2 linked regions of the Caenorhabditis elegans genome follow. The protein of the gene in region 2 purifies or fractionates together with the protein of the main gene of each other region. This does not show direct contact. Each region holds a gene or a part of one and is shown on either strand. Other genes may lie near its edges. The genes, in order: T13F3.6 and C36C5.12.

What was found.
Region 1: the proteins of C36C5.12 (region 2) and T13F3.6 fractionate together in Caenorhabditis elegans (co-fractionation; one large-scale study listed by BioGRID). This does not show direct contact.

Annotation. Positions count from the first base shown.
Region 1 is NC_003283.11:16,262,222-16,278,283, forward strand, and holds T13F3.6 (T20D4.11-like domain-containing protein), read right to left. Parts: upstream 9,001-16,062; 5' UTR 8,989-9,000; coding exon 8,911-8,988; exon of another isoform or gene 8,856-8,910; coding exon 8,748-8,855; exon of another isoform or gene 8,701-8,747; coding exon 8,527-8,700; exon of another isoform or gene 8,260-8,526; coding exon 8,113-8,259; 3' UTR 8,079-8,112; downstream 1-8,078. Other genes in the region: Nuclear hormone receptor family member nhr-127, read left to right, coding at 74-186, 285-418, 597-724, 773-868, 919-1,131, 1,237-1,453, 1,504-1,670; T13F3.4 (T20D4.11-like domain-containing protein), read right to left, coding at 2,876-2,935, 2,991-3,386; fbxa-2 (F-box domain-containing protein), read right to left, coding at 6,114-6,305, 6,359-6,980, 7,229-7,317; T13F3.8 (uncharacterized protein), read left to right, coding at 9,419-9,425, 9,474-9,530, 9,703-10,277; pacl-1 (Polycystin-Associated Channel-Like), read right to left, coding at 10,502-10,741, 11,173-11,270, 12,414-12,712, 12,759-12,986, 13,039-13,148; cyp-37B1 (Cytochrome P450), read left to right, coding at 16,045-16,062.
Region 2 is NC_003283.11:3,151,412-3,167,558, forward strand, and holds C36C5.12 (UPF0376 protein C36C5.12), read right to left. Parts: upstream 7,755-16,147; 5' UTR 7,752-7,754; coding exon 7,617-7,751; intron 7,561-7,616; coding exon 7,147-7,560; intron 7,098-7,146; coding exon 7,038-7,097; 3' UTR 6,995-7,037; downstream 1-6,994. Other genes in the region: srab-6 (Serpentine Receptor, class AB (Class A-like)), read right to left, coding at 1-25, 325-551; srab-7 (Serpentine Receptor, class AB (Class A-like)), read right to left, coding at 2,074-2,228, 2,413-2,608, 2,658-2,843, 2,892-3,120, 3,535-3,761; exh-1 (T20D4.11-like domain-containing protein), read left to right, coding at 5,684-5,824, 5,875-6,288, 6,338-6,397; C36C5.14 (T20D4.11-like domain-containing protein), read right to left, coding at 13,307-13,366, 13,419-13,832, 13,973-14,104; C36C5.4 (T20D4.11-like domain-containing protein), read left to right, coding at 15,149-15,307, 15,363-15,758, 15,807-15,857.

The sequences.
Region 1 (16,062 bases), about 13 Mb from region 2:
TTTAAAAATCTTTCGACATTATCTGACTTTTGGCGTTCTTCGAATTTCCAAATTTGTCTCTGTTTCACAAAACATGAAGATTACTTTTTCTCCGGAACTTTCAATTCCCTGCGAAGTGTGCAAAAATCAATCAAACGGATACCATTTTGAAGTTTTATCTTGCGGAGCGTGCGCATCGTTTTTTAGGTAAGATATAAAAAATAGATATTAGTGCACATTGGTGGAAGAGATACAAAATTCACTTTCCTCAAAAAATTTCAAAAAAAAATTGTGTGCTTTTTCAGAAGATCTGTCGTTTCCAAAATAAAGTATCAATGCAAGGACGGAAAAAAGCGCTGTCAAATTAGATACTTGGACAGGCATTTCTGTAGGTACTGCCGATTCAGCAAGTGTGTAAAAGCAGGGATGAAGGCTGAAAGTGAGTGGGCGTAAGCGTCAAATTTTCAAAAAAAGTTGTAGCAGATAAGAAATGTGTAAATGCCAATTTTACCTGCAACTTAAAATTTTTCAAACAATTTTTAATTTTTCAATTCAACAACGATAAAACATTTAAAAAAATAAATGTATCGGCGGCTAGTTTTAAACCTAGCTTTCAGAAATTCAAAAGAATCGCGATCTAGATTCTTCCCCCACTCCAACTGACCAGAATAATTGTATCCCTAGTGATGTACTGCATGATGACGGAATTTTGATTAAAGACATTCGAGGTCTTTTCAAACAATTTGTAAGTTTATAATTATGTTTAAAACTTGCCGACAATTGTTATTTCCAGAATCCACATAATGCTTCAGAAGGCTGTTCAAAGTTGGAAAAACTCACGGAAGGTCTGCAGTTTATCAGGAGAAATCAAGAGAGGGAGTGCATAAAGGTGAAATGTTTTCTTTCAAAATCAAAGTTTATATTTCCAATTTATTTTAGATAATCGATGAAATGGATTCAGAAAGCTTGAAAGATGTACAATTTAAAGTTATCGGTTCATGTGCTACATGGCTACTTTTTTCTTCGTTTTTCCAGAAGCTTGAGGAAAATGAAAAAGTAGTAATTTTGGAAAGGTTGTGGCATGGATGGACAGTTCTCGAATTTTTGAGTAGATCACTTGAAATTTTCGGAAACAAAGTTATTGATGAAAAGGTAAAATTGATTTTAATTCAACAATTAAAAATTTTTTTTTCTAATATTAGGGTTATACAACTATGTTTCCCTAGATCACCATTTCTCAGAAAAACAAATTTGCAGATAGTTTTCATCTCGGACAACACTGCAATTCGCCTTATCACTGCATTTGAAAACTCTTTAAAGACAGCAAGCCCGAAGAAAAGTGAATCGATTAAGAAGAAGCTGGAATTGTCATTTTCAGTAATATTTGATGAATTAGCACTACATTTCATAAATTGGAAGCCGACTGAAATTGAAATTTCGTATATGCAGTGGCAAATAGTTTGGAGTGTAGCAGGTGAGACTTGCAGAACGTTTCCGAAAAAAATTAAGAATTGTTTTATTTAGAACAATTACTTTCTGGAAATTCTCTGGAAAAGGGGGAACATTTCACCGAGCAACTATCCAAGGATCTTCATGAATATTACGTGCGAGAGCTGAAACTGGAAAATTACGCTTTTCGGATTGAGAAAATGATGGATATTGTTCAGATTGTGCAGAATAATTTTTATTAATCTTATTTATCTTTGTCTATCATTTTATTCAACAATAATTAACTGAATGTAATGCTTAATCTAAAATCGAAAATTTTTGGAACAGATGTTTAATCATATGGCCGATCTAGATTTCGACTAGGCGCACAACCTTGAAAGGGCATTTTTCCAAAGAAAAACCTGTCCTCTCGAGGTTTCGTGAATTACCATAAAAATTGAAAGCAACCAACTCATGATTAAAAAACTAGGACGCACGTTTTCTATAGGGTCCCTGAGTTTTAAATAATTTCACTAAAAATCTTGATTTTCCATATAGAAAAACCAGCCGCGCAAAGCGCGTGCTCCGACTGGCGCACACTAAATTGCTCAAATAAATTTTAAAGTGCTAATGTAAAATTTTTGTACAGTTACACATTTCCTTGGAGTTTTGCGGACTTTTAAGAAAATTTTAAAACTTTCCAGATTTTTCTTTAAAAAGTTGTAGACCTTTCCAGGACTTTTTAGAAAATTCTTTAAGCGCTTTGAGAATTTAATCAAAAAATTTTTCTAGGTGCCAGAAGCTTTCAGTTCAATCAAAAAAAAACTGACCTTCAGACATATAAATGACTACATTTTTTAATTGGGAGATTTATTTAGTTTTCATTATTGAAAAATTAATATCTGACTTAAAATGAATTTTTTTGAAAATAATTTTTCGGGACTTGTTTCAAATTTTAAGCGTTTTCAGAATTCACGAATCAAAAAATCGAAAATTTTGGAACTTTGGGTTAGGTGAAGAACGGATCGGCTAAGTATTCCAAGAAAACGTGTAAGTTGAACAACTTTGGTTAGAACATTTCTTAAGTTAATGAAATTCTTGACTTTTTGTCTTTGTCTTTTTCATCAGCATACAGTTACTTTTCACCTACACTTTACAAAACATTTAGTCGGATTTAGACTAGCTCACGGCGCAATCTGTGATCCTTTGAATTACTGTGGAAAATACAAAGTAAATATTTCCCACAGCTGACTAGTTGAAATTGTACGTTTTAGACAAATTTGTTTGACAAATTTGTCGAAGCTCGTGAAACTTGCCAAATTTTCCGCACACATCAAAAATTTGACAATATAATTTTGGCCAAAACTAGTGATTTTGTCGAAAAATTAGTAAAATGACACTAAATTTAGTTATTTTGATGTTTATGCATTAAAACAAATTTATTTAATTTCAGTCGACATCCAATCGTTTATTCAAGTCTGCTGAAGTCGCACTTGCCAACAACATCTTCAGATAGCTTTATCATTTTCTGAAAATGAGCACACTTTTTCAGAGGAAGAACAACTTTTTTCCTAATTAGGTACCTTACGAAACGTATTCCATTCTTCTTGGCCGCATCTTTCAATAATTTCCTTTTTAACGCAGTCATCTTTTCCGAAATATGTATCACAAGCATTTTCTTTCATTTTCTCAACTTTCATCTTGTCATCTTCTAAATATATTTCATTTGGCAATGGATTCCAGTTTTGAACACATTCTGCATTTTTTTCATGCAATTTGTCAAAACAATTAGAAAAATCTTCGGTGAGGAACACAATAGCTTTGCACACCCATTCAATTGAACGAAGCCTTTTGTCTAGCTGGTTATTGGAGCCTGGCCTACATGGAAGAGCTGTAAAGCAATCTTGTAGATCACCGCAATCTGTCTTGAAATTCTTGATATCTTTTTCATCATTAAAATCGAGAGTTTCGAATTTCATTTGGAAGGAGAGTAAGTTCTGTAAATTAATTCGTTTGTTCGTCAATGCAATCTAACAAGAAAAAATGTTTGAATTAATTTGTCAATTAACTACAAAACTTCAGCTGCATAAGAGAACTTCAAACTAGAAAAAGTCAAACTGAAATTATTTTTTTTTTTAATTTTGAGTGAGCTTACCAAGTGACACGAAAGTGATGGTTTTCTGTCAGCATCAGGGCATTATTGAGGACCTATCACAACATCCTGTCTGGTGAATACCACTTTCCAAATGCCGCATCAACTGGGAGGAAGGCTCGCTCGCCCAGATATCCGTACATGATGTGCCCTTGTGGATCAATCAACGAAAGCTTCCTACTAGTCAATCTTCACCTATGGAACCGTATGGCCAAGTTACTTCCGGAGACAATGAGCCGTCAAATGTTTGCTTCACGATTAAATTCTATCCCGTTTAATTATTTTTCCCACCCAACTTGATCCCCTTAACTACTTCTGGTTTAAAGGATCATTCAAATTATTCAAGTTTGTTTCTCCCGGTGATTATTCTACACTTTTCTGTTTTGTTACGACGTTTTGAATAAATATATACATATATATATATATATAATCTCTGACCGAGGTGCGGAGGTTTGAGACATCTAGTTCACAAAAATTAATGATTTAGAAACATTTCATGGAAAACTTGTTAATTTTTTTTTAATTGGAAGTGTTTTCAAAGCAATGAAAATCCTTCCGGAATAATAAATTCGTTTTTTCTATAACATTGTGTTTGAATGTTTTAAAATATTTTTTTAAGTTTTTCAAATCCTACAATTAGCAGATGTTTGCCAGGGAAGTACATAGTAAATAGGAATATAATTATTTTCAAAAAATAATGATTTCCTTCGGTACTTAAAACATTCAACAGTTATTGTATTTGTTCTTGAACATTTTTATCGTTGAAAGGCATCCAGAACCTCTTTCAATATGAAGTCTATGTCTCATGACCTCTGAAAATCTTTCTGATACTCTGACATGACAGTACATAAAATTCGTTAAATAAGTTTTTAAACGATGAAATAGATAGAAATTTTAATTCAGATTTCGCTATAATTATTGGAAAACAATTAACACAAATTTCATGTAATAATTTGCTATTTATTATTTTACTTACTCAAAGATTCATTTTTCAGCACAAACCTGAAACATTTTTCGGCGCGTGAATCGAGGTACTAGCACAACAAAAAAGCAGATAAAAAATAAACACAGCATGAAAATTGCGATTATCATTCTCTGATAATCGTTACAAAATTCTGGTCTTAAATTTGTGGCCTGCTTCACATATTCTTCCTGGATTTTTCCCGATTTGTCATCACACAATTTTTTGATATTTTCCTTGATACATGGTTGAAGGTTGTCCCATTGATCGCATACATCTACTTCCGGCTGAAATTATCGAAAAAATTGCGGGAAATTTCAATTTTCTAAAAAAACACTTTGGCTGAAAATTTCAGCTTTCTAAAAAGTAGTGTTTAACATAAAGCTCATATGTTTTGAAAAACTTTGCTGGAAAAATAAACTTCCAGAAACTTCTAAAACGTTTATGGGAAACTAGAGAAATCTCGAAAATCAGTAGTTCTCGGGAAACTTTTGGAAGGATCGGGGAACGGGGAAAAAGTGTAACTGGTAAAACACTTGGGGTAAAAATGTTTTGGAAGATCCCAAACTGTAAATAAGTTAGAAATATGAATATGTATATAAATTTGTAATTATGTTTTTTAAATTAAAAATTAGACATTTGAAAAATTCAATAAACTACACTTTTTTACAAAAAAACGTTTGCTCACCTCGTGAATATCATTGAAAAGTGTGTTGAGACATGGAATATTGTCGTCTTTCTTGGCTATCAGCTTTTCAGCACATGTTGAAAATTCGCGATTGTAGAAAATATAAAACAGGCAAGGGCGAATTTTGGTCGTCAAACTTTTCAAGTGTGAAGAACCCACCGCTTCTAGACAGTTCTGAAAAATTAATTTTAGTCATATTTTTCTGTTTTTGAAATAAAAATTCACTATAATTTCTTCACATTTATCAGCGTAACCTTCGTATATCTCTGGTGGCCAGAAATACCGATTGGTAACGTTTATTGATTTGACTATCGGGTCCAAGTCTGAAGCAATCTGGAATTTCATTCATTTATGAGCATTTCAATTTCATACAAACTCACATTATTACAGTCATCAAGAGTAACTGCAAGCGTAAACGTTTGGCTGGAGATTAGAAGTTGAAGTTTTAAAGTTAATCAAACGGAAAATGATAAATTTGAACATTTTTTTAAGGTAAACTTGTGTTTCTTGGCGGTTTTTTTTATAACTTTTTGTTGATTGGTTTTTCATTGAACTACTGTTCAGTCACAGAAAATTATTTATCAATTTTTAAAAATGTATATTTGCTTATTCATCAATCTAGAAAAAACTGAGCTAATTTTTAAAAAAAATTGCGTGGTATTGGAACAAAAGTAGCAAAAATGGTTCAGTAGAAAAATATATACTCTTTGACAATTTTCATAATTGAAGTTGTATGTTTTTTACGCTACTTTTTCTTTCATTCCAAACTTGATATTTTTCGTATTTCAAAAAAAATTAGATTTTTTTGAAGGCTAAAAAACAATTCATGTTGCACTAGGTTACAAACGAGGGAAGGGGTATGCGAGGAATGGAACAAATTACGAGTATGAAAAACTAAATGTTCATTAAGTTTCGGAACAAGAAAAAAATTCATGGTGACTGCAAATTAACCATGTTTTACAATCGTTTGTCCACAAAAAGTCACCATCATCGTCTGTGTAATCCGATTTGAATACTTTTGCGATTTCCGATGGGGTTGCGTTTGATGCTCGAAAATTGATATTGCAAATCTCAAATGTACTTCTGTTCAGAACGTTCTGAAATGCGTTTTTGCAGAAGAAACAAAACACTATGTATTGCATAAACTTACATCTCGAATTTGAATTGCGTCTTGTAGCAAAAACTTATCCAATGTGAGCGTGAAGTGCTCAAAATGAAACATATGCATAGTTTGATTGTTTTCCATCGGGACTAAGCTATAATATGTAAAGCTTTTTGCGTTTTTCCATTGATCCAAATCTCTAATCCTATCAAATCCGTCAGCTGATTTGAAAAAATACAATTCGATTTCTTCTACAACTTGAGCATTCAAATATGGAAAAATTGGCAGTACGTCGTCGATTGAGCAATGAGAAAACTTGATACTCTTGAGATGAACCCTACCGTTTTGTTTCATAACGTCTAGAAGACGTAGCCCATTGTCTTGAATACTTTTGTCTTCGAGAAATTCAAATTTTGATATAGGATTCTTTAATAAAAGTTGCAAATCATTGAAGGCTAAGTTGATGAAGTTTTCGCCTTGAATAATCTTTTTTTGTTCGTTGTAAATTACATATGTACTGGCATTTGGAGCATCAATGTATTTGATTTCTGTTCCGTTCAATTGAATGTGTGCTTCTCTAGACAAAATATGGAAGGTGATGGAATAAAAATGAGTTCCCAGCTTATCCACCGACGTTTTCAAACATTTGCACACTTTTCGGGATGTCAGTCTGGAATATAAGAATTTTCGCCGATAGTTGAAAATTGGTTTATAGAACATGATTTTTTTTTAAATTTAATTAGCAGCATTTTCAGATTTCTCTTTTAATTACTTTTTTTGTTACTTTTTGTTACACTCCCTCTGCCGCCTATATTTCAATAGTTCCATCAGTAAAAAGAATGTTACAGAAAACTTCAATTTCTAGAAAATCAATCTTAAATTATATTGCACCACTTTTGGGACACAAAAATGACTCACTGATATATGGGCTCAAGTTTCTCCAAAATTTGGTTAGCGACTTCCAGAGGCATATTGAGCAAAGTCGGATGCTTTTGGTTGTTGGACATTATTGAACGCATTAAATTTTCAGAATAATTGCTGAAAATCACCAGATGAATACAAAAAGTATGCAGACTGAATTAAAATTTAAAGTTTCGTAATACATAATGTATCTTCGGCAAAAGTTGTTCGTTAATGTAGAGGGTTAGTGAAAAAAAATATCGTATTTGTTGTTGAGAGACTTAGACGCGTCAAGTTTGTTGGCAGAGAACGAGTACTCCAAGTGAAAAACTGTTTGTCTGTTTGTTTTCTCTCTCTCTCTCTCTTATTTTTTTGTCTTGTAGATTTCGAATCAGTAGTAAGTCTATTTAATGTCTAAAGAGTCATAGGTTGAGTTATCAATACTTATATATTTAAAAATACAGTGCATAGTTTGTAGTCTATGTAGTCTTTGTAGTCTGCGTTGTTTTGGCTTATGAAGGGATATTGATTTTTAATCTCCAATAAAAATTCGGCCATTTTTATGCCTGAAAGCCAGTTTTTTTGATTGAACTGGAAGCTTCCGGCACCTAGAAAATTTTTGTAGTTAGAATCTCAAAGCGCTTAAAAAATTTGAAAAAAATCTTGAAAGTCCTAGAATTTCTTGAAAGTCCGCAAAACTCCAGGAAAATGTATGACTGTACAAAAATGTTACATTAGCACTTTAAAATTTATTAAAACAATTTAGCGTACGCCAGTCGGAGCACGCGCCTTGCGCGTGCGAACGGCTGGTATATCAATAAAAAAAACGAATAAATAATAAAGCGCAAAATGCGCGGAAAACTTATTTGAAATCTAAAATAGTTTTATTCAACATTTTACTATTAGTCACAAAATTCTGGTCTTAAATTAGCGGTTTGTTTTACATATTGTTCCTGAATTTTTCCTGATTGGTCATCACACAAATTTGCGATATTTTCCTTAATGCATGGTTGAAGACTGTCCCATTGATCGCACTCATCTACTTCTGGCTGAAAATTTCAATTTTGTGAGAACAATCGAATATTTGAAATTAAAAAGTATGAGCTTTCATGGTAGACAGGCGCGGTTACAGGCCCAAAAACCTGCCGGCTTCACACCTCAATTCTGCATTCTTGCTTGAAACAAAAGTTCGCGCTCGACACTTTTTGAGCTCCGCGCAGCACTATAGGACGCGGATTGCGGTGTGAGGCAGGCGAAGGAAGGCGAGGCAGGCGCTGCAGGCGTCTCGGAGCCTGCATGATTACAGTTTTGCATACCTCGTGAACATCATTGAAAAGTGTGTTGAGGCATGAAATATTGTCATCTTTCTTCGCGATCAGCTTTTTGGCGCAATTTGAGAAGTCGCGATTGTAGAAAATATAGAATAGGCAAGGGCTCACTTTGGTTGAGAACTTGTCTAGTAGGGAAGCGTCCACCGATTTTACACAATTCTGAAATTTTGCCATTGTTCCGTTCTTAATTTTTGAAAAAATATTACTATAATTTCTTCACATTTATCTGCGTAAGCTTTGTATGTCTCCGGTGGCCAGAAAAATCGGTCTGTAACATTTATCGACTTGATGATTGGCTCCAAGCCTAGACCAATCTAAAAATTTAATGAATTTACAAAAAATCTCACTATTAGTATTAGGCATACTTACAGTTTTACAATCATCCATTGTAGCTGCTGTCGCAAAAATTGGAAGACCAATTACCAAGATAAAACCAAAAGAAATCATGGTTTATTTTTCATTTTACAAATGGTGGAGACCCATTTTATACTGCTATCATCTACTGATCAACACAATTTTTTGAAACTAGATTTTGTGTAATGTCTGATAAGTGTTCGCAGTTCGATTGAAGATTGAAAGTTAAAGTTTGATAGTTGATCGAAATCGTATCAAACAGTGTCCCAATAAAGCAATTTCTTCAAAATTTATCTCTCTCACAATCAATAAAATTTAAACTTTAAAATTAAAATGTTTTTTTCACGGAAACTTTTAAATATCAATTTTCAAATATTAAATATTAGTGTTAACGTGAAGAAATAGGGCAGTGGAACATAGGGGCAGCCGACGAAATTAGTTTTACAAAAATAAATCAATACTGGATTTGTACAGCAAGATTCTGTTGGACCGGAATTCAAATCCCCGATTGCCAATTATTGAAATGATCAGTGAGTTGGAAATTTTTCGCAAAATTTCAATCAATAATTCGGTTTCAGATTTAATCTGGTTTCCACAGCTTCTACAATTGATCATATGGATGTCTGTATTGACTGGTGAGTTGCTTTTGTGCAGCCTACAAAGTGCGGGTTTTTTAAGCAAATCCTTTTGAAATTGAAGTGAAAATGCGCTCCATCGCCAAATAGGGAGCTTCATATTATGGGTCCCGTTAAGTCCGAAAAAGTTGAACGATTCAATTATTTTCGCCAATTGAAAAAACATTTTCAGCATCTCTCCATTTGTGTAAGAAGAAGGGCAAAGCCAAGCCAAAGGCAAAAGTCCGTGAGATGTCAACAGTGAAGATGACGACAACGACTGGTCTCACCACGAACAATGTGAACATTGGAAATCCAGCGCCTGAGGAGAAGAAAAAAGAGGAAAAGGTGGAGAAGAAACCGGAGGAAAACAAGGAAGCAGAGAAGAAGGATGAGCCGAAGAAGGAAGAGGAAAAGAAGGAAGAGGAGAAGAAAAAAGAGGAGAAGAAGGAAGAGGAGAAGAAGGAGGAAGTGAAGGAGGAGGAGAAGAAAGATGATTCAAAACGAGATGAGAAAAAGAAGGATGGAGAAAAGAAGGAAGATGATGAAAACAAAGAGGATAATGAAAAGAAAAAAGAAGAGAAGAAGGAGGACGAGAAGCCCAAGAAGGAGGAAATCGTGCCACAAGAGCAAAAGTACACGGACAAAGAGCAAGCAATCGCTGATGGAGTCAAGAAGAAGAGGACGGACTATCCGACTATGGAGGATGTGGCGAGTGATTGGGACGATAGCAAGAAGAAGAAGAAGAAGGATGATGATAAGGAGTAATGGGAAGATCTGGATTATCTGTGAACTCTTTTTTTGCAATGTATGTGGTATTTTGAAAAAGTAAAGATTGATGAAAATTTGGGGTGGGCTTCTCCACCCATCGAAGTATACATTAATTGCGGACTTTATGCAATTTTGAGCAGAATTTCAACTATGTACAGTCCAAGATAAATATATTAACAAATAGCTTCATTAGCTGAATTCCAGATCACATCACAAAAAAGTTATTCCGCCTTCTCTCCCATTGGCTGGTTGTTCTTGAAAAGCTCATTTTTCGATCTGTACTGTACTTGCATATCCTTGTCCACTTGATCCGCTTGATCAATGTCCGAGATAAGGGGAATCGCGAATTCGGAAATTCTCCACGTCTTGATGAATTGGATGAGGGCGAAGATGACGTAGGCGGTGGCGGTGTGAATTACAAAGCAGAAGGCTGTCAGGGTGTGCGCGTCTGTTATCAATTTCTGGAAACAAAATAGATAGGCAAGCATGATGATAGGTAAGCAGGTAGGCTCAAAACAATCAATGGACAGGTATAATGTGGCATGGGTATGCACAATTGTAGGTAGGCAGGCAGGCATGGTAGGTAGGCAGGCATGTGCGTACGTGAGCATTTAAAGGTTCGAAAGTCGGTAGAATGTTATGATGTTGATACACAGGTAGGCAGGTAGACATAACGCAAGCACGTAGTTAGACAGTTGTAAAGCAGGGGTACGCACTCGTACAGGTAGGCTGTGTTTGAAAATACTATTTGTTACCTGCCTGCACTTGCCTATCTATCTAGATGGACACCATGCCTACTTACAAGGTCGCATCAGGTTTTGATGCCTACGCCCTCTGCCTGCCTCATTCTCACCCTAAAAAACCAAATACAAATCTTGCTCTATAATCGTACCAATTGAACACTTGGTGGTACGGTTGCAATCAAATTCAGTGTGATCTTGATTCCATCGGTAAACGAGACGTCTTGCCAGCGTGAGGCGGAGATGGTAGCTGAAAATCATTACTATATATAAAGCGCTATTCCGTATGTCTCTGACGTCACAAATGACGTCACAACATTCAGCGCTGGAAATTATTTTAGAAAATTTTGAGGCTACTTATGATGAATACGCACCCGACATCGATCGAGGTACGCGATAAACCACTCAACACTTTTCAAAAACATCTTGATGGGAATTCAAATTTTAATTTTTGAAAACATTTTGGCGGGAATTCAAATTTCAATTTTTGAAAACATTTTGGCGGGAATTCAAATTTTAATTTTTGAAAAAATTTTGGCGGGAATTCAAATTTTAATTTTTGAAAACATTTTGGCGGGAATTCAAATTGGAATTTTTTTGAAAACATTTGGCGGGAATTCAAATTTTAATTTTTTGAAAACATTATTCTGGAATGTTCCAGAACCTTCTGGAAAATTCGAAAAAAAGCGACCATTCGTGGTGAGACCCGTCGTGGTGAGACCTTTCGTGGTGAGACCCATCGTGGTGAGGCCTTTCGTGGTGAGACCCGTCGTGGTGAGACCCTTCGTGGCGAGACCCATCGTGGTGAGACCCATTGTGGTGAGACCCATCGTGGTGAGACCCATTGTGGTGAGACCTTTCATGGTGAGACCCATCGTGGTGAGACCCTTCGTGGTGAGACCCTTCGTGATGAGACCCTTCGTGGTGAGACCCTTCGTGGTGAGACCCATCGTGGTGAGACCCTTCGTGGCGAGACCCATTGTGGTGAGACCTTTCGTGGTGAGACCCATCGTGGTGAGACCCTTCGTGGTGAGACCCATCGTGGTGAGACCCATCGTGGTGAGACCTTTCGTGGTGAGACCCGTCGTGGTGAGACCTTTCGTGGTGAGACCAATCGTGGTGAGACCCATCGTGGTGAGACCCTTCGTGGTGAGACCTTTCGTGGTGAGACCCATCGCAGTGAAAAATTTTGGCGGGAATTCAAATATTAATTTTTTGAAAACATTTTGGCGGGAATCCTATTTAGTGTTCAAAAAGTGAAGATTTTCACCTTTTTCCATGAGATACTTTTGTAGGATCAATTGATGATTTATGTGTCAAACATGTCAAATTTTGCCAGTCGGCTGGTAGTTTCATATTATTTCTTCCTGGAAATCACAATCTTCCAACTCACTTAAAAAGAAGCTCAGCACAAAGTAGGCGCAAGCCACAATCAGTGAAGCGATCACATTAACTCTCAACATCTTATTCCTCCCAACAGTCCACGCTTCGTATTTTTTCTGCCGAATGCATATTTTCAGGATATTGGTGACGATTGAGTGAAGCGCAGAGACACTACAACCGACTGCAAATGTTGTGGAAATGGGAAAAATCGATCGAAAAACTGTATCGATAATTTTAGTAGACGGCTTGTAGAAGACAAGCGTGTGATCGTCGTTGAGCTGGAGAGCATGCTGGTACATTCGGATGAAGCTAAACATTTTTGGATCTTCTTAAACATTTATAGATATAAGCCTACGTGGAACACTTGGACCACATGAATGTATACGCAGGCTCGACCAGAAGAGTTTTGTTCAGGAATCCAGATATGATACCGTAGACATCACTTGAAGCCAATGAATACTTGGAGCTGTAGATTTGAGCCGAGGCTGATGAGGTTTGAAGTCGCTGTTTTTCGAATTCCACGTCAGCGGCGATTTTCTCGAAATTCTTCTGCTCTGCTTTCCATTCACTGTTGTACTCGAATCTGTTAAAAACGTGTCTCAGGCATTTCAAAAACAAAAAAAAAAGAAGCTTACAGGGAAAAACCATAAATCAGTACTGCATAAAATGCCGCAACACAAATTAATAGTACTACTGGTCCAAGTGTACTCCGCAATAGCCGACGACCATCGGATATTTTGGGCATTTCGAATATAGAAATTTGGAATTCAGTGGAGAAGTAGCTTCAGAAAAAAATGTTGCGGGGAGAGGAAAACAGGAGGCCGCATGAATTTTATGTCGACGGTTGCTTGGTAAGTTGCGAGGAGACCTGAGCAAAATTGCAGGCCTTGGAGACCGGAATATAGCAGAAAAAAAAACATGTTTTGATGGCAATTTTTATAATTATTGATACAAATATTTTATTTGTCTCTGTTGGCTCTACTGCCGCTTCTAAAAAAACTTCTCAAAAAAGCCTTCTGATCCATATGCGATATTCCAGAATCAACATAAACGCAATTAGGTCCATAGGCATGTAAGAATGTAGGCAAGTAGGTAGGCACGGAGGGGAGCCCTGTTGCCCTGTTACTTCCCTGTTTTGTTGTGTGCCCTTCATATTATCGACATGCGTTATCCCCATTGGATAAATCTATGGATAAACCCAATGGTTTTAATAGTATAAATATCATCATTATTGTTCCTGCTACTCAAGATCCAGTTAATACTCGTGAAGTCGGTTCTCTCAAGCGCAATGTCGATTGCATGGCTTTCAGTCCAAACTCGAATCCAACAATTTTCACTTTTTATATCTGTGATCTTAAATTCAATTTTGGTATATTTAATCCTAAAATTCTCTCCAAAAAAAATTGGATCTTACAAATATCTGATGATTTATATTTCCTTATTTCAAATTTTTTACTCAATTATGGATAGTATATCCTTACCGGTATATTTCTAAATTTTTTAAGTTTTCTTATTCCTACTTTCAGACCTATCACGCTTATTCGTCAGTTTTACTAGTTTTTAAAAACATTCGGGACCAACCCTACATTCCCATTTCCGTTCACTATTGGCTTTTGGTAGTGTATTCAGGATGCTATGGATTTTGTATGGGAATATTTGGAATTCACTTCTTCTATAGGTATTTGGCGATTTATGGGTAAAGCTTAACTGGAGGGTCAGATAAATATCTAAATTCCTCGAATTTCAGACATACTGAAATGATTAGAAAGTTAGTTTGCATATTGTTCTTAGTTCCTCCACTATTCGGAATTATCTGGAGCTTTATTGTAGCAATATGTTTTGGGCCCACTTCAGAAGTTAGTGCAGAAGTTGAGAATAGTATTCTGGAATCTTATGACTTGAAAATTGACGATATAGTTTATATCGCTGCATTTGTTTGGCCGAGAAATGAGACTACTGGAGTGAAATATCTCAATAAAAGATCCGCAATTGGAATTGGTTTTGATCAGTTAGTTGTGGTACAGTATAGATGTAATCTAAATTTTTTTCAATACTTCAAATTTCAGATTATCTCACTTACTGTTATTGCATATTGTGGGACATGTTGCTACTATAAAATACAACAGCAAATGAGGGTTGCAATTTCTTTGAGCAAAATTACGAAAAACCTACATCGTCAACTGTTCTACGCTTTGGCAATCCAGGTTTGACGCAGCTCAAAACTCTAAATTTACAAAACTACAGTAATCCTTCAGTACCCCATCAGTACCACTACATTTCCTTGGCTTCAAAACCGCCAATCCCGAACACACATTTTTCTAAACGACAGTAATCCTATAAAACTATTTCAATACTCCTACAGTAACCCTAAAGTAGTCCTACAGCCCTTCGATACTATCCCCACCAAACACGATAATGCTTCTACAAAAAGCAGAAACCCAGTTGCCGGTTGCCGCAGTTTATAGCGTTCGCCAACTTCGGCAGTTGCCGATATCAATGTCAAACATTTTTTATCTCGGAAAAAAACATTCAGAGAGCCTAAAAATGATAGCATTTCACTGTAAAAACGACTGTTCTTTATTCCAAAACGCTCTAAAATATGTATAATTTCAACAAAAATATATGTTTGACCAACGTCAAAACTTCAAAACCTGGTTGCCGGTTGCCGAAATTTTTAGGGTTCGGCAACTTCGGCAATTGTCGATTACCCCACAGCCCTCACCTATAGTACCCCCACAGTACCCCTTCAGTCCTCCTACAGTACCGGTGCATTAATTGGATCACATACTAAACTTAATTCTTTTCAGACCGCAATACCAATGCTTCTCCTCCATCTTCCCGTTTCTATACTCTTCATGTTTCCAATTATGGATTCAAACTTGGGGATTTTTACCGGCTTCGTCACAATCACGATTGCCGCCTACCCGGCAATTGACCCTCTACCAACTATGCTTGTCATTGAGAGCTATCGAAGTGCAGTTTACAATTTCATTAACAAAATATTCTGCAGAAAGAAGAACGATGTGAGATCAGAGAATGAAATATCCATGACAACTATTCACGTGACAGTATAAATCTGTATTTTTATAATTTAAATAAAAACTGTGAATCCGATTTCATAGTACGGAATATGTAGTTGCTATGCGTCCGCTTCTTTGGACCGTCCCCAATTTGTGCCCTGCTCATTGTGTTACCACAAGCTTTTCTCATTTTAATTTTCACTTTTTTCTTCTGTTTTTTTTCGAAAGTGAGTTGAGCCCCTTATACCCACTTTTGATTGATATCTATGATTAAAAACGTGCTCACTCTCTAAAATTAGGTTTATTCTCATAAATAATCTAATTGTTTTCTGTTTTTGATGTTTTCCAATAAACAATACTACAAAAGACTCACAATCAGTTTTCTGCCACTGCTATACTAAACGTTTTTATCAGTTTCAAGTCTTATATGGTGCTAATCACTATTTCTGACCAGTCACTAAATTTCACTTTGCAACAATAAAAACAAAATGTGCATCACATGTGTGAACGACATGTGTAGTCTTTGATAAAAAACTAGAGTTCATTAGTGCTATTATAATTGTATTTATAATTGTGCTCCGTTTCGATTTTGAAACTAGTTTTTGAAATTGAAATTAAAAAATGCACTTCTTAAATATT
Region 2 (16,147 bases):
GAGATCAGTGGAATGAAGGAATATTCTACAAAAAATCATGTTCTTTTTACTGTTTTATATAGCGTATTTCTTAGGTCCTTAAGCTCAGCACGATGACCAAATTGGCGAACTAAGTTTTTTTTTTTGCAACACTTTTTGGACTATAACTCAAAAATAGGCTGAGCTAGCAGAATTTTGTCAACTAGCATAATATTCTCTGAGAAATTCTGCACATTTTTATTTAAAAAAGCTCTTAAAATTGTGTTTTTCTTTAACCTTTTCCCCGTTTTCAAAAAAAACAATGATAGGGCACGTTCAATTTTGCAGTTCAAAATTGAAATTTACCTATTCAAAGAATGCAGAAAAAAACCAAACAGATGAAGTTGGAATATGATAATCACATTAAAATGAAATAGTTTAGATGTTTGTGACTTCCAAATGTAGAAGCTAGAAAAAATAACCAATGGGACAGCAATAAGACTAGAGACCAGCTCAAATAGTATAGTACATCGGAGAAATAAGGAGGAAGAAATGTGCTCCATCATTTGGCAATGTTCCCGGTATGATGTCATTTTAAATTGTCTGAAATTTAAAATGTCTTTAAAATTTTAAATATACCAATAACTTTTTTATAAATTGAAATATAAAAAGTAATAAAAAATAAACTAATAACTTTCAGTTGCTTTAAGATAATAAAGTACCTTTGCATACTAATTAACATTTCTCGGGAGTCTCAGCTATACAAGTACACAAAATTTGTTTTGAGCAAGTATTTTGGGTAAGGTCATTATACAATTACGTTTTCAGTATTCTGACACTGTGAAAATTTGAAAATGTAATTCTAGAAAAAGTGAGCACGAGCAAATCTTTAAAAAAAATACTGTTGTTTATTTTAATAATATAACGTATATTTTTAGATATTTAAACTTTTCTTAACAACTTTTAGCCAAAAAAAATCTATAAAAATAGTTTCAAATTTATCAGATTTTATCGCGGTTCTCTTTGGGTTTATCAAAAAATTGTTTACTAGCCATATACGTAGTCTTTTTATAAATTTTTACAGTAAAACATGTTTTGATAAAATATAAGACAAACGAGATATGAGCCGCCTGAGTAGAGTTTGATGTACGTTGATTGCCAAAAACTGTGTCAGTTTTTAGGTTTTTGTTGATTTTTATTTTATTTTCAAGTGAGCTTAACCCAAAACCAGTTTGGCAAAAAACTTTATATAAAAAATATTGATATTATTTACGTCTACATGTTCGCTGTTACCGCATGTTATTAATTTAACTCCGGAAAGAGTTAGAGCGTCTGACCTCTTCCGGGTCCAATTTTCAAAACTTTCTTGGAATGTCTGTAGCTCGAGAACGTAATGTTTGTACCCGCACAATGTCAGCCGCTTTAACTTTTTGCACAGTGGATTTGACAGACAAAATTGGTTGTTCTAAAGTATTTGTTGGGAAATGCATTTGTTGTTTTTTTGAAAATTGGTACTTATGGGTTTTGTTCCTCCCAAAATGTTTTAATTTTCCAAAATGTCATTTTCCACCTTTCAAATTAAATTCTTACCAAGAAATTTTAGCTAATGCACAGTTCAAAATGTGTTATCACACTTTCAAACAAAATTCTGAAAGCTACAAAATTCTTCAAAATTTCAAAATGTTCCTGATTATTTTTTGGAATAGTTTGAGCATTTAAACTAAACCCTACCTGAAATTTTGAAAAAAAATGCACGAAAAGCTAAAAACGTCAATAAATGTCATATAATTTAACCGTGAAGTAAGTTAAATTTTATTTGTTTCAATTTACATGTTTCAAAAAATTAATTTTTTAAAAATTCATTGATAAAAAGTCTTTAAAATATTATATGAAAATGCATATTGAAAATCATTTCTTCCATTATAAATCACCATATTCTCTTGTTTTCGTGACTTTGTTTTTCACATAGACCTCATAGAATGCTAATAAAATTTTTAACAACGTTGACATGACTAAACAAGCTAAGACTATATTTCCTTGTAAAAAATCAATTCATTCAAATTTTCAATAACATGTTAGGGTTGGCGTATTAAATAACAAAAATTGTGAAAAAATTTAATTCCAAGACTTATTAAAATTCTCAAAATAATTATTCTGGTCTGCACTCATATGGACTTCCAGCTCCTTTTTCAGCCGAACTTTGTTTACTTGAGCCTTCTTCAACAATGCCACAATTGAAATAATGGCATATAAGGGGTAGGAGCCACTCCCTGAAAATTATTGTTTTCCCAAAACTTTATATTTTTCAGTTTTACTGTTTCATCAAAATTGAAATGTTTTTTTCTTCAGATATTTGATGTTTTACAAAAACTGTGTGCTTACACAACTATAATTAGGAAATCAGATACATACATTGTCATGAAACATCATAACACCGTATATTTTATGACTCACATTCAAGTAGAGCCAAGTAAGTAGAAGATTCAAGTTCTGCGCCAAATTTCAATAAGAATAGAAAAAACATAATATGGATAACTTGAAATCCAGTTTGTAAATTTGCAAATAGTTTCAATGTTCTCATAGACTTTAGGTTTTGCTCCAAAGAATATCGATTTGACAATGAACATGTGATTTGTTTTGCCCGGAGCCTCTAAAATTAGAGTATACAGCTTATACCTTTTTAGTGAACACCTACATACCTCATTCAAGTTAAACAAGTACTGAAAAATAACTCTTCCAACTATTTGAGCAAGGAGGATAATATGGAAAATCACTTCGACGTTAGTAACAAATCCCTGCTTGATAGCTGTGCAGTAGGGCATAAAAGGTTCCTTGAATGGAAATATTAAGAATGCATAATAAGTTGTCATAGTTGCAATTGAAAACTTAAATTTTTCAAAAAAGTTTTAAAATTTTCGAAGAACTGGGTTTACCTGCTTAATAGCCATATAAATCCCCAACGCACACCCAGTTTGTTCATATTTTGACGATTTAATTGTTGCAATATATCTTTCAATTACCAGTGGAATTGTAGTTGCTCCAACTAAACATAGGCCAAATACATATTGAACGCGGAGCACAAAACATCGAGTTGTGCTTGCAGGCATGTCACAGTAGTCAAGGATCAGGTAGTTGTGAAGGTCAATGGTGTGAAGCACTATTCTGGAATCAGAATTGGAATGCATTGCATATTTAGACCACTTGCGTGTCTTTTGGAGTGTCAAAAAATTTGGCAATTATCGAGAACACAAATTTCGAATAAAATACTCAAAAAGCAGTAATAAACTATTTTTACTGTAGTAAATTTTTTCTTTCTCAACTCGTAAAAACCTGAAAATTTTAAAATTTTTTCGATAATTTTAGTTTTTGTTGGTTGCCGGATTGTTGAACCGCCAGGAATTTGAATTGCCAAAAACTAGTAATATTAGAAATACCTTTTTTAATAGGTTTATATTAAGTGTTTAAATGTTGTGGAATTTTTTCAGTTCCAAAAAAACTAAAATTATTAAAATTATTAAACCATTCGTTTTACGAATTTTAATTGTTGAGTTATAGTAACATCACAAAAATTATAACCTGTTCGAGCAATGCAAAAAAAATCCGAACCAATGAACTTGAAATATAATTATTACATTGACGTGGAATAATCTTGCAACTTGCGCAGTCCATAAACTATAACTCGCTACAATAACCATTGTTAAAGCCAAAAGACTAGATGCAAGTTGAAATGTTATAGTGAATCGGAGGAATATGGACGAAGACAGGGATTCCATTATTTTGCATTGTTCCTGATATGGTGTCATCTGAAATATTTGGAAAATTTTTTTGGAGCCCTAGCATTAAATAAATGCATGCTCCTGAAATGCATAAAGTATTGCTAAAAATAAATTTTTTTCCAAATTAAATATTTTAAAATAAAAAAAAATTGAGATTCATGAAAAGTTCTCGTAGAAAAGTTTTGGCTGAAAACAAAAAAAAAGCACACATAGAAATTTTTCTGAGAGATGTGCTAATGAGTTGGGAATCAGAAAGCCATAATACTATGAAATATAGTATTGTGACCTCATCTTTTAAAATTTGATAAAAACATCCATCGAAACATGAGTCAAAATTTGTTTGCGTGATTGGTTTTTTGGAAGGCCCAAACTCCCAGGGGGCAAAAAATTAGGGGGCATCGTGTTCTTAGGGGGCATTTACTCCAAGGGGGCATCACTCATAGGGGGCATTAGGGGTCAATGTTCTTAGGGGGCATTTTCAAAAGTCTCAAAGGGGGCAAAGTTTTAAATGAGTATTTGTTAAGGATACGATTTTTAATGATTTGTCAAAAATGGAATTCGGCCTTAAATACTAATTAAACACTTTGAAATGGAAAAATTATGATGTTTTATTTGTCTTGTTTATTAACAATATTTTGAAAAGTGTATGTTTTCGGTGGGCAACTTGTTATATTTGTATCTTTACAGTCATCCAAGATAGTTGTTCAAAAGTTTTAGATACTACAGAAAATAGTTTTTAAACAATTTTGGATGTGCTCTCACGAAAAATTAATGGAATTGTCAAGAGCGGGGATGTAGACATAATACATTCCAAAATCTTATAGCTCCGTTCGTGTGTGATATAAGAAAAAGTGGTCAACTGAAAAGTCGTCACCCTGTATAGTAATCAGCAAATTATTAGTTTAAACTTTTTGTCTATATTGGATGACTGTAAAGATACAAATATAACAAGTTGCCCACCGAAAAAATGCACTTTTCAAAATATTGTTAATAAACAAGACAAATAAAACATCATAATTTTTCCATTTCAAAGTGTTTAATTAGTATTTAAGGCCGAATTCCATTTTTGACAAATCATTAAAAATCGTATCCTTAACAAATACTCATTTAAAACTTTGCCCCCTTTGAGACTTTTGAAAATGCCCCCTAAGAACATTGACCCCTAATGCCCCCTATGAGTGATGCCCCCTTGGAGTAAATGCCCCCTAAGAACACGATGCCCCCTCATTTTTTGCCCCCTGGGAGTTTGGGCCTTTTTGGAACGAATTCTAAATTCTAAAATTTCAAAATTGCTATATAATCATAGTTTGTCTGAATTGTTTTTTTTTTAACTTTTTCAGCAGGTGGTGTTATAGGGGAAATTACAAGATCAAACCACTTGGAGTTCAGCTTTTTTGCTACTCGATTTATGTTTTTAATTTGAAATTAAAATGCAAAACTATGCGGTTTGTAAATAATTTTGCTTTTGAAAGAAAACTAAAATAAATGTTTAAAAAATTTTGAACATTTTTTATGTAGCTTGTAACAAATGTTTTTTCTTACTACAATTACTATAAGTCTCAGCCCAATTTCGGCATGGAAGCAGAAAAAAAATTGCTCATTTTCAGGCAAGTTTCAGATTTTTCCAGATTCTCTGGCCAGCAGTCCTGGGAGCTCGGTGGGTCCGTTCCTCCTAGTACTACTTACGATAGAGTCTTAATTTTCACTTCCTGGTTCAGTTTTTAAAGAAACCGATGAATGTTTCTCAAAAGATCATCAACAACTGTCGAAACAAACTTTTAGAACTTTATCCCTTCAAACGTTACACACTTTTTTTCCGCCTTTCGACATGAACAGTTGCTACTCTGTTCAGAATAGTTCCCCGGCTCGAGTCGACAGGATCTCATGTTGTCTATTTTTTCGTTTATTTTCAAGCTCGGCTCTATGTATGTAGTTTGTTTTTTCAGGAGATGAAGCTCGTCCTCTTACTAGTCACCATTGGTATATTGTCCCTGGATTTGGTTCAAGGTGTAAAAGTTAACCTAGTACCTTTGGGAAACATGGTCAATTGTACTCTGTCTGTTGAATTCCATTCGATTGGCTGTATCATGGTTTGTTTTTATATGAATACTTTTTTTAGTAATATTTAGTGTTTTTTCAGCGTTTAGGCGAGTTTTTCGATGATCTTGATAAACTTGAGCTGGACGATAAGGCGGAAGTAGTCAAATTTTCAAAGTCCTGCGAAACTATCCCCACCTGCTTTGAAACTCCGCAGTGTACACCAAAGGGTATCGCACCAGAGGAGAAAAAGGAAATGGTCAAAAAAATCAAAAACTATTGTAGCGGGGTTTCCTATATCGCCAACGACTTTGAAGAATGCCGTGATAAACTTGCGGAGAACAAATGTTACAAAGATTGGGACCCGTTCCAGAGAAAGTTCAATCTGGAAAAGGATGAGAAGAAAAAAGAACAAATGCGTGAAGATTCTTGCAAGAATTATTTTGGAGAAGACAACTGTATGAAGACGGTGGTTACTGAAACATGTGGTGAATCCGATTGGGCCAAACTTCGCGACGTAAGTATTCCGGGGGAATTTAGAGAAAACAATTTTTATTAAATTTCAGCACTTCGTGGGAATCGGCAACAATATTTTGAGCGAATGCGGCTTCAGCAAAACTGATTGAATAACTTTATAATTTTGATTTACTTTCTGATTTTAATTCGATAAATAAAATTTTACCATTTCGATCAGAAAGTTATTCTATTCGGAACGTTCTGCGCCGATTCAATCGTTTCAGACTTTCGGAGTTGCTCCAAATCGAAAAATTGAAATAACTATGTAGTTTTGCCATTGGTACTAGTACCTGCAGTCGAGTACACCATACCAAACAAAAAAACAAAAAAAATTACATTAGTTTATATAATTCTATTGTCGAAAAAGTAACAGCTTCTGACATCCGGCAGGTTTGTAATGCCATGTGACACAAAACTGAAACTAGGTGTTTTCATGAAGATGTCTTCTTTTTCCAAAGTGTTGTTCTGTCACAAAGTGAGCAGGATATTTTATAAAATACCTTGATTGGCGGTTTTTTCGCGGTACGGCTCACGGCACGAGGCAGGCGGAGGTCGCCGCAGGCATTTTGGCGCCTGCATGGAATTTTTCCACCAACATTTTTGGCCGCTAGATAATTTTTTCTCACGATCAAAGTTGGTTTTGCAATAAATCCTGTTCTCTCTGAAAAAAATCCTGAAAGCATATTTTGCTGCTAAAAAATGTTCCTGCATCAAAACTAATTCATTAATATTTTGTCATCAGAATTATAATTATCCAAGTCTGCTGAAGTCACACTTGCTAACCAAATCGGAGGAAAGATTGATGAACTGCTGAAAATGAATGAATTTTCCAAAAAATAAGTCTTTACTTGTTACTTACCTCACGAAATTTATCCCATTCTTTTTGGCTACACGTTTCGACAATCTCCTTCTTCATGCAGTCATCTTTCCCGAAATATCTCTTGCAAGTCTCTTTTTTCATTTTCTCAACCTTCTTTTCGTCTTCTTCTAGATGAATTCCATCTGGAATCGGGTCCCAGTTGTCGAAACAAACTGATTTTTTCGCAGTAAGTTTATCACTACAATCGGAAAAATCTTCGTGGATGTACACAACAGCTTCGCAATTTTTTTCGACCATTCGGAACAACTCTGCTTCGTCCATTGTGGAATTTGGCCCACAGCGGGTAATGGCAAAACAATTTTTTAGAGAATCGCAAGTTTTCTTGAATTCCTTCAGTTCACTTTTCTTATCCATGTCGAGTTCATCTACTTTTGCTGCGAAGTCGCGAAGACGCTAAATTCCAAATTTGAGAACTAGATAAATTTCAAGTTGTTAAAAAATTCACTTACCTCAATACAAAGGAATGTTTGAATGGCAGATCGCAACTCACAATAAGTTTCTTTCTCGGCAGCAGTTAGATTTGCTCCGTGAGCCACTCCCAAAAGCACAGTACCAATGATGGCAAGCTTGAGAAAACTTGTCATTTCCTGTAACAAAAAATGTAATCACATTTTCAATAAAAGTGGAAAATTGAAAAAAACTGTGCCGGAGAGTTTTCACTGATGTGAGCTACCTTGTTTATAAATGTTTCAAAAGATGATACAGAACACTGTGACAACTGGCGTAGATCTTCAAATATATCTTTAAAGAGAATGTGGATTGCACGTTTGTTTCACAAAATCAAATGTACAAACATCCTGATGGAACTCAATCCAGGAATTTTTAACATCGAGACGTCCCATGATTACACAAAAAAACGTAAGATAGCAAGTTGGACAGTGGACAGTAAGAAGCCCAACAAGAGTTGGAGCATTTCATTCAATCAAGGAAAGCGTTTGAGCTCGCGAGTAGACTTCCAGTGAGGGATTTTGTCTAAATGCACTTATTAAAGGATTAAAGGATTAAAGGACGATCCGTTCTTCAAGTGCTATGCACTGCGGATCTGGGATTCAGGTACATTGCCTGGTGGTGATCCCTCTGGGCTGTAATTTAAGCCACGTCCTAGCCGGGGACTGTGGCCGATAATCCAGTCGTGGATTGCTCCACTTCCCAATAGAGGCTGGGTGAACCTAGGGGGTGAGGCCGGACTTGAACTCGTGACCTCCAGACAGCTAGCGGCCACCACCACAGTTAAATCGCGGGGTATACATTGTGTGTTTTGAGGCATAAATCGGGCATTAGCGAAGCGCAAACGCACGCAATGTGTACATCGCGAAAAATTGGACAACTTTCGCGATGTATACATCATGCATTCACAATGTCACAAGTGGAACGGTGCCTACTAATTGGAAAAAACTGTCATTGAAATCTCAATTTTTCAATTACCTTTTAAGAGTACCCCGTACGATTTGAATCTTCAAATCCGAACAATCATGAGGGTCCCCTTATTATCAGATTCTCCAGCTTCAAAATATCATAAGGGTCCTCCCTTATGGTTGAAAAATTTTTGAGTAAAATTTTTTTCCAAGAATTTTTCAAAAAGTGTTTAACTTTGTAGAATACCTCAATTTAGGTAGTTGCTCCAAGTTTGGACATTCATTTTACGATCTCAGTCGAATAGTGACCAAAACTAGAGTTGATTGAGCTGACAGACGTATTACTTTCAATGGCTTATAACTCTGGTGGCGTTTGAATTAATAAAATGTGTTCAACTGAAAAGTTGTTGGTAATAATGTGAAAAACATTTTGGTAGTTGGTACCTTTTTGTTATCTTCAATGACTGTGGAGATGTGAGCCCCAAAAGATGACCAAAATATTCTAGATCTGTTCTTAACTATATCTCGGTTCTCGATAAAGATGAAGGGATAATTACAATTACAAAAACGTTCACTGTTTTAAGCTTAACAAGATTATAGTTGGGTACTTTTTGATACCTCGCCTCTAGAAATAGATAAATCTGTTTTAATACAGGTGTTTTAATACAAAAAAAACCTAGGGGTTATACTGCCTCAGGTTTTTGTCTGAAATTGTGTTCAGAACATCTAAATTGAACAAAACAGCAAACATTGCTATTTTCTATAACATCTAATTAAAATTTCAAAAATTTTCAAAAGAAAATGTTCGAAAAAAAATGAAAATTTTTGTAAGGACCCTTTGGATTTTTTTTATGACAAAGTGATCAACTACAAAGTTGTTTATTTTAATCTAAAATACTATTTTGTAGTTGATCGTTTTTTATCAAAAAATTTGAGGGTCGAGATAAAGTTGTGTTAAGTGCAGCAACTTCATGCTTGAATTTTCTTTATCTTTTTCTGCTCATATATCGACTATTAAATTTTTTGATGAAAAACAATCAACTGCAATATTGTAATGTAGATCAAGATAAACAACTTTGTAGTTGATCACTTGGTAATAAAAATTTTGTTCACGAAGATGTAAGCATCCAAAGTGAACTCCATTTTTGAACGTAGGAGTTCTGCTATACCCCTGGTTTTCATCTGAAGTCGTCCTCTGAACATCCAAACTAAAAAAAAACTAACAACTATTATATTTTTCTATAACATCTGATCAAATTTTGAAAAGTTAAAAAAAAAAAATTTCGAAAAAATTTTTTGAAATTTTTCATAACCTTTGGATTTTCGTTTCGAAAAAGTCAAAAATTTTTTTTTCAAATATTATCTAATATTCATTAGGTATTGTAGAAATAAGTTTATTTTGTCGTATCTATGAACTTTCTTACCAAATTCGGTGCTCTCGATTAGTAAAACCGACATTCCTTGGAGCTTTGAACCATGATCTCTCCTGTATTAAAACAGATTTATCTATTTCTAGAGGCGAGGTATCAAAAAGTACCCAACTATAATCTTGTTAAGCTTAAAACAGTGAACGTTTTTGTAATTGTAATTATCCCTTCATCTTTATCGAGAACCGAGATATAGTTAAGAACAGATCTAGAATATTTTGGTCATCTTTTGGGGCTCACATCTCCACAGTCATTGAAGATAACAAAAAGGTACCAACTACCAAAATGTTTTTCACATTATTACCAACAACTTTTTAGTTGAACACATTTTATTAATTCAAACGCCACCAGAGTTATAAGCCATTGAAAGTAATACGTCTGTCAGCTCAATCAACTCTAGTTTTGGTCACTATTCGACTGAGATCGTAAAATGAATGTCCAAACTTGGAGCAACTACCTAAATTGAGGTGTTCTACAAAGTTAAAGTAGTCTCTTAATACATTCAGATGGGCTTGGGCCGTTACTGCCGCGTTATTGATTGACTTGTCCCGAACGAGAATGGACGTGTCGTCCGCATACTGGATGATTTCTGTCCCATTTCCGGATGGAGTGTTTATCGTATAGAATGAGAAGAGGGAAGGGCTAGATACCGCTCCTTGAGGCACACCGCCTCGGAGAGTTTTCCATCTGGACCAGCGACCGTCGTACAGTGTCCTTATGCGTCTTTTGTGTATATAGCCTGTAATCCAACGGATCAATTTCGGCTCAGCTTTTGTTTGAGCCAGTTCTACGAAAAGCTTATCGTGGCAGACTGTGTCGAAAGCGGCCTTCAGATCGAGACTTATCAGGATTGACCGTTCGGCAGGTCTCTTGCCATTTAGTCCGCCAGTGATAAAGTTCAAGGTTTCAGTGATCGCTGTCGTCGTGGAATGCAGCTTTTTGAACCCGTGCTGGCTTGGTGGCAATTTGATGTGTAGTAGATTTTTCAGAGCCGGTGATTGAGACATGTGATGAACCATTGTAGTGGTACTTTGTTGAGTGCTCCTCGTGGCGAGCCGCATAGCAGAATTGGTCGGCAGGGTCGGTGGTCTGCTGCGGGGGGTGACGGCTCTCGTGTGAGTTCCGGCGCAGTTCACGCAGTAGAAGCCTGTGCCTGTATATATTCTCATGTTCACTTTCGAGCATCTGATGTGGGTCCATTTGTCGCAGTTGGTATTCGTGCAGCCGAGACTGCTCGTGGCCGCGTTCTTGCCACAGACTGGGCACGGCCATGACTTTTTCGGGGGACCCGGGTTCATCACGACATCTCCGTGTGTCCTGCGCAGTAGCCTTTTCAGAAAATTGGCGTGTCTGAGGGATGTGATTACAGGCGGGGAGTTCCCTCCACTCCTCGCCTTATCCAAAACATTGTTTGGTGTGATACTCTTCGAGTACAAGGGACGCCCACAGAGTCCGTTCTGTGGTGTTTGGGGGGTAGCAATGGAGTTGTCTCCTCTGTTTGATCATTGGAGGGAGAGTGACATTCCAATCCAGAAATGCCATGTTGGATTATATTTGCTCCAAATTTTATTAGAAAATCCATATTGGAATAGATTTGTTCCATAATGGATTAGATTTCAGCCATATTTGATTAGAAAATCCATATTGGATTAGAATAGGGAGCCTATTAATTATGTCCCCATTATATTTGGTTGAAATCTAATTAGACGACTAAGCGTTTGTCTGAGAGGCGGCGACGGCCCCTTGCATTCCAATCCATGATTCGATTGCTCAAGGTTCTTCTCCAAAACGAAGTTTTTTTTTTCAACTTCGGTGCAAGTTGAGCGTCGGATACATTTTAAAGCTTACAGCATTAGTTTCAAGTCTATTGAACGAAATTCGTGCGATGAAATCAGTATTTAACTCGTTGCAAACTCATATGCAAATGTGCGCGGATGGCTTCACAGGTAACGGCTTGGGTTTATAAACATTAGGGTAGAGGGTGCGCTGGTTCGGGTCCGTGGGGTTGTTAGAAATTTCTGATCAGTGTGAGTGAAACGAAATGGGCAGTGGGAATGACCAGTGAGAAAAATGTGAAAAGTTTTTTTTTTTTTGTGAAAAAATTCCTCATGCCACACATAATGTATACATCGCGAACACATTTGTGGGTTCGCGATGAACGCATAATGTACACATGATGTACACATCGCGAATAGGTGTTCGCGATGTGTACATTGTGTGTACATTATGCCTATGTTCCGAGGTACTTGAATTGTGCCATCGCGAAGCATTTTTTATACACAATGTATAATCCGCGATTTAACTGTGTACTACCGACTGAGCTATCTGCCCCCCATGATCCAAAACAACTGAATATCATAATAAAACACTCCAAAAAAATTTAGATTTTTCATAATTTCCGGTCAAAGTTTTGGCAAAGTGCCAAAATTTTGAAAAATATGAGCATTTGAGGAAATTTAAAGAAATGTCACATGTCTCGACCCCTACAATGTTCTAATACAAATAATTTAAACAAAATTAAAACATAAAAAATGTCAAAAAAAAAAAATTTTTTTTGGTCGACTTCCAAAATTATGAGTGGCAAAAACTGAGCAATTGCCACTTTTTGACAGTAAATAAAAAAATTTCAAAAAATTTTTGAAAAGTTTTATCATGATATTGGGTCATTTTAGGACCAAAGGAGTGGTTTTTTACAATTTCCCCACTGGCGCTACTCCACCTTTAAACTGGAGCGTGGCATGATAACTCAATATTTTATGATTTTAGCAAAATTTTACTCGTTATTTTCAAAATTTTGACTTGCCAAAAGATTGTCGATTTCCGCCAGTTTTAGTACACCTATTTATGTCAAACTCCTACAAACTCTACCTTTATGAGTCATTATTAGAACTATTTGATTTTCGTAAACATTTGACCTGAAGCCTGTTTCTGGTCCACTTTTCTATGGTTCAGAGTGCTCCACCGCCGCTATTTGTTTTCTGGTACATGACCTGGCCTAAAATTTACAGCAAAAATAACGAATTGGTGAGCCAAAAATAGCAAAAAAACGGCAAAGTGGCGGCCCGCAGGCGGTACATCTAACGAAGATTTATTTAGAAAACTGGCCTTCACGGTCACCGTTCGTCATTTTTCTGAATGTTGGTGTGAAATCAAAACCTTTGGTTTTTCCGCGGCCGACACTTTCTGGGTTCCTCACCGTGAGTTCAACCGGCGTCCTATTTCAAGATCAGGTAATTCTAAGTTTTTTAGGCAGAAACCCGGATCTATCACATTCCAGTCTACCCCTTGAACATCCATTAAAATTCTCTTTAAAATATCAAAATCTACAAAAATTTATTCAAGCGGAAAAAATAATAATTATTCAAGTCTGCTGAAGTCACACTTGCTGACGAGTCCTCCAGAAAGATGAAGGAAATGCTGAAAAATAGAGAATTAGTAACTTTTCGGTAATGCCAAAATAAAAGTTCACCTTGTGGAGTGAGTCCCATTCTTGTTTGCCGCAAGTTTCCGTAACCTCCTGTTTCATGCAGTTATCCTTTCCGAAATATGTCTTGCAAGCGTCATTTTTAATTTTCTCGACCTTTGCCGCATCTTTTTCCGAATGAGTTTTGTTTGGAATTGGGTCCCAGTCATCAAAACATTTCGATTTTTTTGCATTCAGCTTATCACCACATTTGGAAAAACCATCGTAGACATACATCGCAGCATCACAGTAGTTTTTGATGTTCTCAACATATTGTTTCTTTTCATCTTCGCTTTTTGCGGTGCATGTAAGATTGTTCCAGCAGCTTTGAACAGTATCACACGATTTCTTGAAATCTTTCAGTTCATCCTTATCGTTCATATCGAGCTCGTCAACTTCCCCCAGGAAGTCTCTCGTAATCTAAAATTGAAATTTAGAAACAAATATCATAGAAGGTGGAGTACCGAAATCTGAGACTTTAACACTTTTTTAGGCCAGGTAGTGCCTAAAAATGCACAGTCTCAGATTTCGGGTCTCCATTTTTACTACGAATTACTCACCAAAACACATCTAACTGCAGCGTTTGTATCTTTTACAGTGCAGTCTGAACCCTTTGCCGATGCTAGGCTTGCTCCATGAGCCACTCCCAATAGCATAGTACCGATGAGGGCGAGCTTGAGTAAGCCTATCATTTTCTGTAATAAAATTACTATTAAAAATATTGTTAAAAAAGCCGAAACTGAAGGTTCCTACTGTGCTGCCCTGTTTATAAATGTTTCAATGATGATACTGTGACAACTGGCGTGGATCTTCAAATAGATCTTTAAAGAGAGTTTTGTGTAAATGTGGATCGCACGTTTGTTTCACAAAATCCAATGTACACACATCCCAATGCCGGAACTTTTCGACCAAAAGATCTCAAGATTACACAAAAAACATAAGATCGCAAGTTTTTCTGTCTTCTGGATTGCACGGGGGTGGCAGTCAGAACTTTCTGGTGGGCATCTTTTTCTCGAAAATTGCACTTTGAAATTTTGGATTGACAAGGAACTAAACACGAGTTGGAGGAACATACTCTAATAAAGATACATAGTATTTAAGATCGCAACTAAATTTCCAAATAGGTATAGGCTCAGGCTCTGTCTTAGGCTTAGGACTAGGCTTACGCTAAGGCTTAGACAGCAAACCGCGCCTACCTTACATGAAATTCTTAACTCCATTTAGAAGTCTTGTTGTGAGCTAAAATACTTTTCTTGTTAGAATGCGTTCTTCCAACGCTTTCGTGGCTCTGTGCAAGTTTTCATTTGGCGGACTGAGGCGGGCAGATTAGAGACTGGTGTCAGGCCCGGGAACCGCGCCTGCCTTCCACGGAAGCCTACAAAAAAGCATCAGAATGCAATTTTTGATGCACATCAAGCACAATTGCTGGATGCGGAAGTGGAAGAAAACGTGCTACAGTGTAATCTTGAGATCTTTTGGTCTAAAAGCTCCGAAATTGACATTTCTGATCGGCTAAGTAGGCGAGGGTTGGGCTCAAGCAACACACAAAACTGAATTTTTGATGAAACAAACGTGCGAAGCACAATCACACCAATCGTTTTAAAAAGATATTTGAATTTCAATAGTTCAATATCTTCTTTTGAAACGTTTAAAAAACGGGGCAGCCACAGTGGAAGCCTTCAGTTTTTACTTTTTCTCCATATATTTTCTCATCAAATATTGCACAGTTACAGAAAATGCGGCATTTGTTCAAACTTTTTTTGCTTGGAGCACTTCTACTGGCACTCGGAAATGGAGCCCCACAGATTTCGAACAATGAAACAAGTGTCATTGAGTCAGGAGCTGGGAAAAATTGCACCGAAGTCACTTTCAAAACAGTTTTCAGTTGCATTTATGTAAGATTTCAGAAATTAGAAAATGTGTGGTTTAAAAAAAAAGAAAGAATTTCAGAGCTTTGGAAGTTTTATGGCGAAAATGTATTTTTTGGACATGAAGAAACCTTCTAGTCTAAAGAAATTCCGCGACTCGTGCGGTGCGGTTGCCGATTGTATGGAGTCTCTTGAGTGCAGCGATAATGCAGAACTTCCGGCAACGACAACAGTCAAAGATGCTTGTGAGAATATTATCTTCTTAACCTCAGAATTTCTTCCATGCCTAACAAAGCTGGATGAACTGAAACCGGCGCCCGAGTGTGCCAAGGACTGGAACCCATCTCCAGATAAAAATGGAAGTGGTGAAGAGAAGAAGCCAGAAGAATTGTGCACCACCATGTTCGGAAAAGACAATTGCATGAAGAAATTGATCATTGATACTTGTGGAGAGAGTGATTGGCAACTTTTGTTGAATGTGAGTTTTAGATTCATAAGTAACATCATCTGATGAAAAAAATTTCAGCGTTTCAAAGCAGCACCTGTCCTCAAGCAATGTGACTTCAGCGGCCTTTGAAGATACAAAAATGGAGACGACTCTCCTTTGTTATTTACTTAAATTTTTATTGAAATAAAACATTGATAAGAGTTCAGTTCACAGAAATTCAGATTACAGAAAGAGGGGTGTAAATCAAGGACAATATCTGATATTCAAGCCTCAAGCTTCAAGTAGGCTTTTTAAACCCGTGATTTAGACTGATAGTTCACTAGGTAGTGGTGGCCGCTAAAAATCAGGAGGTCACGAGTTCAAGTCCGGCCTCACCCCCTAGGTTCACCCAGCCTCTATTAGGTAGTGGAGCAATCCAC